2 linked regions of the Danio rerio genome follow. The main gene of each other region encodes a partner of the protein of the gene in region 2 in a complex. Links are inferred from orthologs where the notes say so. Each region holds a gene or a part of one and is shown on either strand. Other genes may lie near its edges.

Region 1 (3,875 bases), on a different chromosome or scaffold from region 2:
AGCAGTATATATATGTTTGATTGTCTGCAGAAGAAACTACTGTTATACAATGACTTGTCTATTTACCCTAATTAAGCCTTTGAATGTCACTTTAAGCTGAGTATCTTGAAAAGCATCTAGTAAAATATAATGTGCTGTCATTATAGCAAAGATAAAAGATATCAGTTATTAGAAATGAGTTATTAAATCTGTTGTTTAAACTGTGCTTTAAGCATCTTCACTGTATTTTTGATTTTATTATTGATTGATGATAAAAACGGTCGACAGCAGCAGGAATACTGCACGCTGTATTTTTAAGAATAGTACGGCTCTGATATGGTTTCTCTTTCACGTGTCTTTTAATTCTCAACTTGTTTATTACACAAATGAGGGTTAATGTGAATAATCACTAAACACTGCGCTCTGACACAAATGTGCATGTATTTTTGACCATTAAAGCGCTCGCATTAAGATCGCGTTAGATGTGTGTGTGCTCTGCTGTCCGAGGCTAAGCGCGGCGCTCGCGCAAACACACACACGCTACCTGTCAGAGGCAAAGCATGGTGCGCACACACACAACAGCACCTGCTCTTTTGCGCATTTAAAAATATGAATGATGCGCATCCCGTGCTGCAAAAGTTACATTACAGCACATGCTTTTAGTCATTTTCATGTGGAACTGAGCTTTGCAGAGGCAGAGTTTTCACACGTGTACAATGGAAAGGGGGCGGTACGTGATGGAATAATCGTTTATCTCGATTAATGGTTTTTCATAATCGTTAAAAGCCAAAATCGCTCATGACATTTATATATATATATATATATATATATATATATATATATATATATATATATATATAAAAATGTCGTGAGCAATTTTGGCTTTTATATATTTATATATATATATATATATATATATATATATATATATATATATATATATATATATATATATATATATATAGACAATTTAATATATTAAATATATTAAAAATGTAATATATAAGATATGATTGTAAGCTATATATAAATAATTTAGTCTCAAAATTGTTAGCATTTTTGTACATGTATGATTTTACGCTATATATTAATAATCAACATTTATTTAACATTTAAAATTTGATGTATATACATGATATGATTTTAAGCTATATATAAATACTGTTTTTAAGAATATTTAAAATTTGATATAAATATAATTTTACACTATATATAGATAGACATTTAAAATGTAATATACCAGATATGATTGTAAGCTATATAAAAATAATATATTCGTTCTAAAAAATACTTAATTGATATTTTAAATAATTTTATGCTTTATATAAATAATAATACATAAAATATTTGCATTTAAATAATATGTAAAATATTATATATAAATATTTTAAATATCTGTAGACATGGATATGCATATTTTATAAATATAATAAATGTACACAATACGCTCAAAATTATATTTTAAATACAAATTTTTATTTTTGATTAATCATTGAACAGCACTAATCTTTTTTTCTTTATTTTTTATGTAACAGATGCGGTTTTCTTGATCCTGTATAAGGAGCTGTACTACAGGCACATCTACGCTAAAGTCAGCGTGAGTGTTTGCTCATTTATCTCCGAATGTGATTTCTAGTTGTGAATATTTATTTTTGCAAATATAGGCTTAACCTTAGATTGAGTTTCAGCTGATGTGAGGAGCCATGTTGTTTTCTTGATATTTAATAATGCCTGCTTCTCATATGCAGGGAGGCCCAACTCTCGACCAGAGGTTTGAGTCCTACTATAATTACTGCAACCTCTTCAACTACATCCTCAGTGAGTCACACTAACACACAAACCACATCAAATAAAGTATGCTTTGGGGGGATATTTCAAATGTTTGGGGTTAATTTAGTGGTGATATTAAATTTAAGCATCATTGTGAATATTTATTGAAAATGATTACATGGATAGTTCACTTAAATAAAAATTCTTTCATTTACCAACCATCCACTTGTTTTTTTTTTTTTTTGTCTGTTGAACACAAGACATTTTGAAGAAAGTTAGAGACCAGTAGCCACTGACCACTGTTGTAGATTTTTCTTACTATAGATGTTAATGGCTTTCAGTATCCAGCATTCTTCAAAATATACTTATTTGTGGTCAACAAAGCTTAAGAAACAAAAGTCATAAAGCTTTAGAAACACTCAGGGGTGAAAAAATGAGTTAACCTTTAATTTTGGGTGAACTATTTCTTCAAGAAAAAATGCTTTTAAATAAAATACTATTCATTTTCTGTTAGCAGAAGCCATCTGAATAATGTTAGTTATAATTAATTACCAAATATTCAACATTTATTTTTTATATTTAGATAATCTGAAGATGTGGACTTGATTTGTTGATTGTTGTTTTTTGTAAATGTAAAATGTAAAGGCTGGTTTCAGCTTTGCATCACAGGAATAAATCTTTTTAACACACATTCAAATAGAAAAACAGAAATCTCAATATTATTGTACTTGAGTTAATAAAGGCACCCTTTAAAATATGTTTAGTTCTTCCAGAGTCCAAATTTTCAACAGTACTAGTTTAAGACTGTAAAGTTTTTGTTTATATCACCCAGTCCTTGAGTTTGATTATGAGTTATATTTGTGCATATACGATTAATATGGTTTATTATTTCAGACGCTGATGGACCGGCACCTCTGGAGCTTCCTAACCAGTGGTTATGGGACATCATTGATGAGTTTATTTACCAGGTAAGAGCAACCAGCCTGTATTTAATTGAGATCTCTTGTTTCGGCATTTGGACAGGTTTTTTTGTAGTATTTAATGTATGGCTGTCTGAAATATTTCATTCAGATTGGGCTATCACAACATTACTAGGTATGTTATTGACCGATAACAACCACTGAAACTAATAACACAGCAAGTGAGCTGTGAGTCCATTGGAGCGAGTGTTTAACAAGTGTTGAGTCCCATTGAGGAGCTCCAGGTGGGGACTTTTGTTTTGTTTACTTTGATTAAAGTTGTTGTACTTCCGCTGGTTCCTGCCTCTGAATGAGCGATGTAAACAAAACACCCACGAAGAAACTCAACACAGGGGAACATTGAAACCCTGCCAGCTAGTGTATCGGAAGTGTTATTGGAGAGCTACACAAACAGAATGCAGAAGTATAAATGTGCAAGGCATGCACCGTGGTTTACAGGCGATCACTCTGCATAAATATAATTCAGCCTTCATACATAGATTGGTGTATGATCCATCAGCTTTATTCAGCCTTTTTAGTTTTTACATATAATAACCTACATATTATTAATTCACAAGATTGCACTAAACAGCAGCGTGACAAACAAGCAAATACACATCAATGTGGGTGTAAGTATATGGATGTGAACCTATTTATCTACCTATTTATATCCGTTTCCCGGATGATCCTGTGTTAATCAGCGGTCGTTATCTTTAAATAACATACCTTGGAATGTCACAACTGACCAATCAACCAGACAGACATGTAATAATCTGATAACACTCGCCTGGATGCACTTTATCCCTTATGTAGCACATCTAATGAGATGAACGGTTTTATTAAAATCTTAAACGCTGAATCACCTTTTCTCTCTCAGTTCCAGTCATTCAGTCAGTATCGCTGTAAGACGGCTAAGAAATCAGAAGAGGAGATCGAGTTCCTGAGGAATAATCCTAAGATCTGGAATGTCCACAGCGTGCTGAACGTCCTTCACTCTCTGGTGGACAAGAGCAACATCAATCGTCAGCTGGAGGTTTACACCAGCGGAGGTGAAGAGTGTCAGGCAGACTCCTGAGCTGCGGGAACAGTGCAGAACTCAGTGTGTGATGCTTGTGTTTGTGTCTACAGGAGACCCCGAGTCTGTGGCTGGAGAATACGGACGACACT
Region 2 (4,651 bases):
AAATTTTAAAGTTTAAAAATAGAAAACTTAACATTTACCGTACACCACACTGCTTTTAATGCTAACTGCCGACATCTTTGGCTAAAAGGGAGCTGAATGAAGTGACAACCTAATTAGAAATGCTGGACTCTGCAGTTCTCATGTTATATCAAGTTTACGCAATGCTGAATCATGCAAATTACTCGTTTGTGATTGCAGCAATGATTTCAGCATAAACAGTTAAACATGGTTAATTAAACTGCGAACACTGAATGCTAAGAATAATACGTGAAAGTGTAAGTTATTAAGATAAAGTTGGTTTTTATATTCACATATTCATTTAGTGACAACTTGTGACACACTCCCTATATTGTTTACCACGGCACTTTGAATATTCGATCTGAAAAAGCTGCAAGTGTGACTTGAAAACAACATTAGCACTGTTTATTTGACTGTGAGCAATGTTCTACTTCAATAGTCATTGGCGGCTAATATGATTTTGCTATTTAGAGTTTGCAAATAATACTTTTATAAAATTATATTATTAAGGAGAAAGTCAGAATGTGTGAATATAAAACCAACTTTACCTCTATGTGTAAGTTAACGTTGGCTCCGTCTGCTTTCCTTGTCTTTGGCCAAGCAGAACCTCTGTTTTTAGCACTACATAGTTTTGAATCTGGTAATCATGGAACATTATTTCTTACACTTATTTCTTAATCTTGTTAAAACACTTGGAGCTTCGATGAGAGAGTTGTATATTTGGGGCAGGATGCTTGGCCATTTCGTCTTATCCAATATTCATTGGGAGGGTGCTTTCGCGACTCACATCACTCACTTTAACGTTAATTTTGCCAAATCACTGTACTTATCACTGGGTGACAAGCTGTTATAATACGTTGAAAGCATTATGTAAATCATGCATATATATATATATATATATTAAAAAAAATAATATATATATATATATATATATATATATATATATATATATATATATATATATATATATATTTATATATATATATAATAATATATATATATATATATATATATATATATATATATATATATATATATATATATATATATATATATAATATGTAATCAGTATAACTTACTTCTAAGTCAACAAACTCCGCATCGGATGTCATTCCCTCGCTGTAAATGCTAGCGCTCCCCTTTTTTTTCTGCCACTCCCTGCGCGCGCATCCTGAATGTTTAAAAACATGGTAATTCGTCTATAAGGTTCCTTTAATAGCATCGATGTTGTAATGTAATTGAAATACAATCAGTTTAATAGACTTAATCATTTATTAAGTTGTTTAAGTGTAAAACGAGATGAACGATTGCGTAAACGCAAGTGTCATCAGTAGAAGCGTGCTAGTGCAGAAACTCCACAGAAAATACATTTCCATATTTTAAAGACATAACGCAAGAAATCAACTTAATGCAGTACTTCTTGTCCAGTCTAGACCAACTTTATTTCATATATCAATCAGGAAGTAAAGATCACATTAAAAAAAAGAATTCAGATCTTAAAAGTCAATGTACATATACTCAATTTAATTGGACAAAATCAGTAGTGCAGGATGAGTCAATATTTTTGTTTGTTTTCTAGAAGCCGCACTAGATCACACACACTACACAATCTAATAAAAGTTACAGTTAGCAAACAAATGATTGTCTTGAACTAATACACAATCTAAAAGCCACAAAACGACATTTTATTTGATTGTGTGTTAAAAAAATTAACAATGTCTGATAATGGTATTCCTCATGGTACTGCACAATTTACTTGTTTGTAAAATTTCCCTACCGTCCATCGGTGGACCTTTATTTTGAAATTTCCGGAAGTCTTGGTGCAGTGAGTTGAGCTTCACTCTCTCGTTCCCCTCAGCGACTCTGACATCATGGCGGACGCCGATTCTTGGGGTGAGAATTTCTTAAACTCCACCGTTATCTTTCTCTTCTATTCGCTTGGAAACATATAATCTTTTCTACCAGATAAACGTACGCCAAAAATACGCCTGTCATTAAGTGATCTGTCTGAACAATCGGTCGTTTTCCAGATGCGGACAGTTTCGAGCCTGAGGAGCCCATCAAAAAGGCGGCAGTTCATGACAAATGGGAGGGCGAGGATGAGGACGACGACGTGAAAGTTAGTAACGAACCCTTAATTTGTCGTTCTCAAGTAAAAAAAACTGTTTTAACTCTTCTTTAATCCCTACATATCAAGACATTACAGTTGGCTAACTTTAGCTAGCTACTCTTGCTAACTCAAGAGTGTCAAAACAACGTGGTGATAAGTCCTAATACGTGTCTATTTAGTTTGGTGTATACCTGCTTAAATACGCTGTCATAAGTTAAACAGTGAAATTATAGTAATTATATGAGTCAGTTCCATTTCTCTAGGCCTTTAATTACAATTAATAGTTTTGTTAGTGTAGATGGCCTTTTGTAGCAGCATGTCACTGTAGATTGTCACCTGTTGATTATTTAAAATTATTGGATCATCCCAAGGAGATTTCATAAAAGGAAAGTTTGAGAATGTTAATGCTTCTCTTAGGCTAGCAACGAAGATGAAGTGGACTAATTTATTAATTAAAAGTATTCTTCCTTTCCATTTAGGATAATTGGGATGATGATGAAGAGGAAGAAAAGGAGGAAGAGGAGGAAAAAAAGACAGGTACAGTGATGTTCATGAGTTGGGGGAAAAGTGCATTGTTAGGATAAAATGGGGTCAAAGGCCAAAAAGGATTTTGAAGCATCAAAGCATATGTTGCGCAGTGACCATGAGGCTATCAGTGAAGAACAATAATAATTTGATGATATATTAAACTATTTAAGCAATCACGTTGAAGCCTCAAAATACTTACTGTCATTTTTAATCTTTGTAATTTCGCCTTTGTCCTTTAAACCAAGTTCAATTACTTATAAAGCAAGTTTTTAAAGTACATAAAACTAACTTTATACAAAGCAAAAATTATTTAAAAATTTTTTTTTTAATAATAATAAAGTATTGAGAAACCAAGAGAAATACTAGAACTACTAGGTTTTATCTATTAGTATCTATTTACCATAGATTTTAATACTTTTAAAAATTCATAAAGTTTAAGTTAATTTGTTTTAAGTACAGGTCAAAATAAGTATACATTACACTAAATGACGAGAAACCCTTTTCACAATATTTCGACATGCTTTTTTCACAAATAATATTTGAAATATTACATCATCTCATTTGACATGCTAACTGTGTATATCTGCACACCAAAATGGGACGTCTGTTATGAATTTTTTTATTTTGTAGTTGGCTCTATAACTAAATAAATCTACATGCATGAATATACAAACTATTTTAAAAATATTTTTTTAAAAGACTGTAAATTATCCACATTTAAATTCACATAATTACAAAGCATCTGCAGGGTCCTAAAAGTCTTAAATAGTCTTAAATTTCAACTACATTTTAGGCCTTAAAAACTCCTAAATTCACTCAAATATTGTGTTTTAGGTCTTAAATAATTTTAAACAGGTCTTAATTTTGTTTTGTCCAAGTAAAGTTACTCAACCGAAATCCATCCAATCATCCACAATGTGTCTCAATAAAACCTTATTTTTTAAATTAAAGTTTTTTTTATTGCAAAAAGATACATTCCCAACAGCTGTTAGCCATTTCTTACAGAAAATTCCCCAAATTAAATGGCCTAATCAGGAGAAAAAAAAACTAAAAATGATTACTCAATTCCTCAGGACAATACCAGGCCATTAGGATAAATCTCAACCCTGCATAAGTCTAAAATGTCATTCTTAATGTCTTAAAGGGGTCTTAAAAACTCTTACATTTGAATGGATGAAACCTGCAGAAACCCTGATCAGGTACTTCAGTTTGTAACGTTTGTATGCGATTTTGTTTGGATTTTTCATATGCAGAGGCTAAACCTACAGAAAAAAAGAAACTCAGTGAAAAGATAAAAGAAAAGGAAAATTTACAAAGGAAAAAACAAGAGGAGCTCAGAAAACAAGTAAGTTGGCGCAGTAACAATTTATTGATATTAAGCACATTTAATTCACATTGTGGGTTTTTATTTTTTTATTTTGCTGTCACTGTTGAAGTTTATCTTGATATGGCTACAAACTTTGAACTTGTATTATAACTATAACCATTCATGAAGGATTTTGGGGTAAATATATCACAGTTTTAACAAAAAATATATAGCTGATTATAAAACATTGATGATAAGTGTTTCATGAGCAGCAAATCATATTAGAATGAGGATCATGTGACTGCAATAATGATCCTGAGATTTTGAGTTTGACATTTCAGGAATAAATTAGATTTTAAAATATATTATAGTACAACAATTATTGTAAATGCTATTCATTTTGTAAGAATATTTTTCATTAAATGTATACAACATTACATTTTTAAAGCAGTTAGAGGAGACAAAAAGAGACACACCACTCACACCAGAAGATGAACTGGCAGAGAAACTCAGAGTGAAACAACTACAGGAGGATTCAGACTTAGAACTAGCAAAAGAGGCATTTGGTGAGTGCTTTCTGTATATAACATGCATCTACATTTGTTTTTAAAACGGATAAAAGATTCAATTCTGAACTTTTATTCTCTCTTTTTAGGTGTAGTTTCAAATAATGTTACCGGAATCGATGC

Evidence for each region.
Region 1: eif3ja (region 2) and eif3s6ip share a complex: the UniProt entries of both Homo sapiens proteins name them as parts of the eukaryotic translation initiation factor 3 (eIF-3) complex. The link is inferred for Danio rerio from reciprocal best matches to the Homo sapiens genes EIF3J and EIF3L.

What each region holds. Positions count from the first base shown.
Region 1 is NC_133188.1:46,828,184-46,832,058, reverse strand, and holds part of eif3s6ip (eukaryotic translation initiation factor 3 subunit L), read left to right. Parts: intron 1-1,514; coding exon 1,515-1,576; intron 1,577-1,727; coding exon 1,728-1,797; intron 1,798-2,643; coding exon 2,644-2,717; intron 2,718-3,585; coding exon 3,586-3,757; intron 3,758-3,836; coding exon 3,837-3,875. UniProt on the Homo sapiens protein: Component of the eukaryotic translation initiation factor 3 (eIF-3) complex, which is required for several steps in the initiation of protein synthesis.
Region 2 is NC_133200.1:34,325,510-34,330,160, reverse strand, and holds the start of eif3ja (eukaryotic translation initiation factor 3 subunit J-A), read left to right. Parts: upstream 1-1,797; 5' UTR 1,798-1,889; coding exon 1,890-1,911; intron 1,912-2,048; coding exon 2,049-2,137; intron 2,138-2,607; coding exon 2,608-2,665; intron 2,666-3,909; coding exon 3,910-4,001; intron 4,002-4,410; coding exon 4,411-4,528; intron 4,529-4,617; coding exon 4,618-4,651. UniProt on the Homo sapiens protein: Component of the eukaryotic translation initiation factor 3 (eIF-3) complex, which is required for several steps in the initiation of protein synthesis.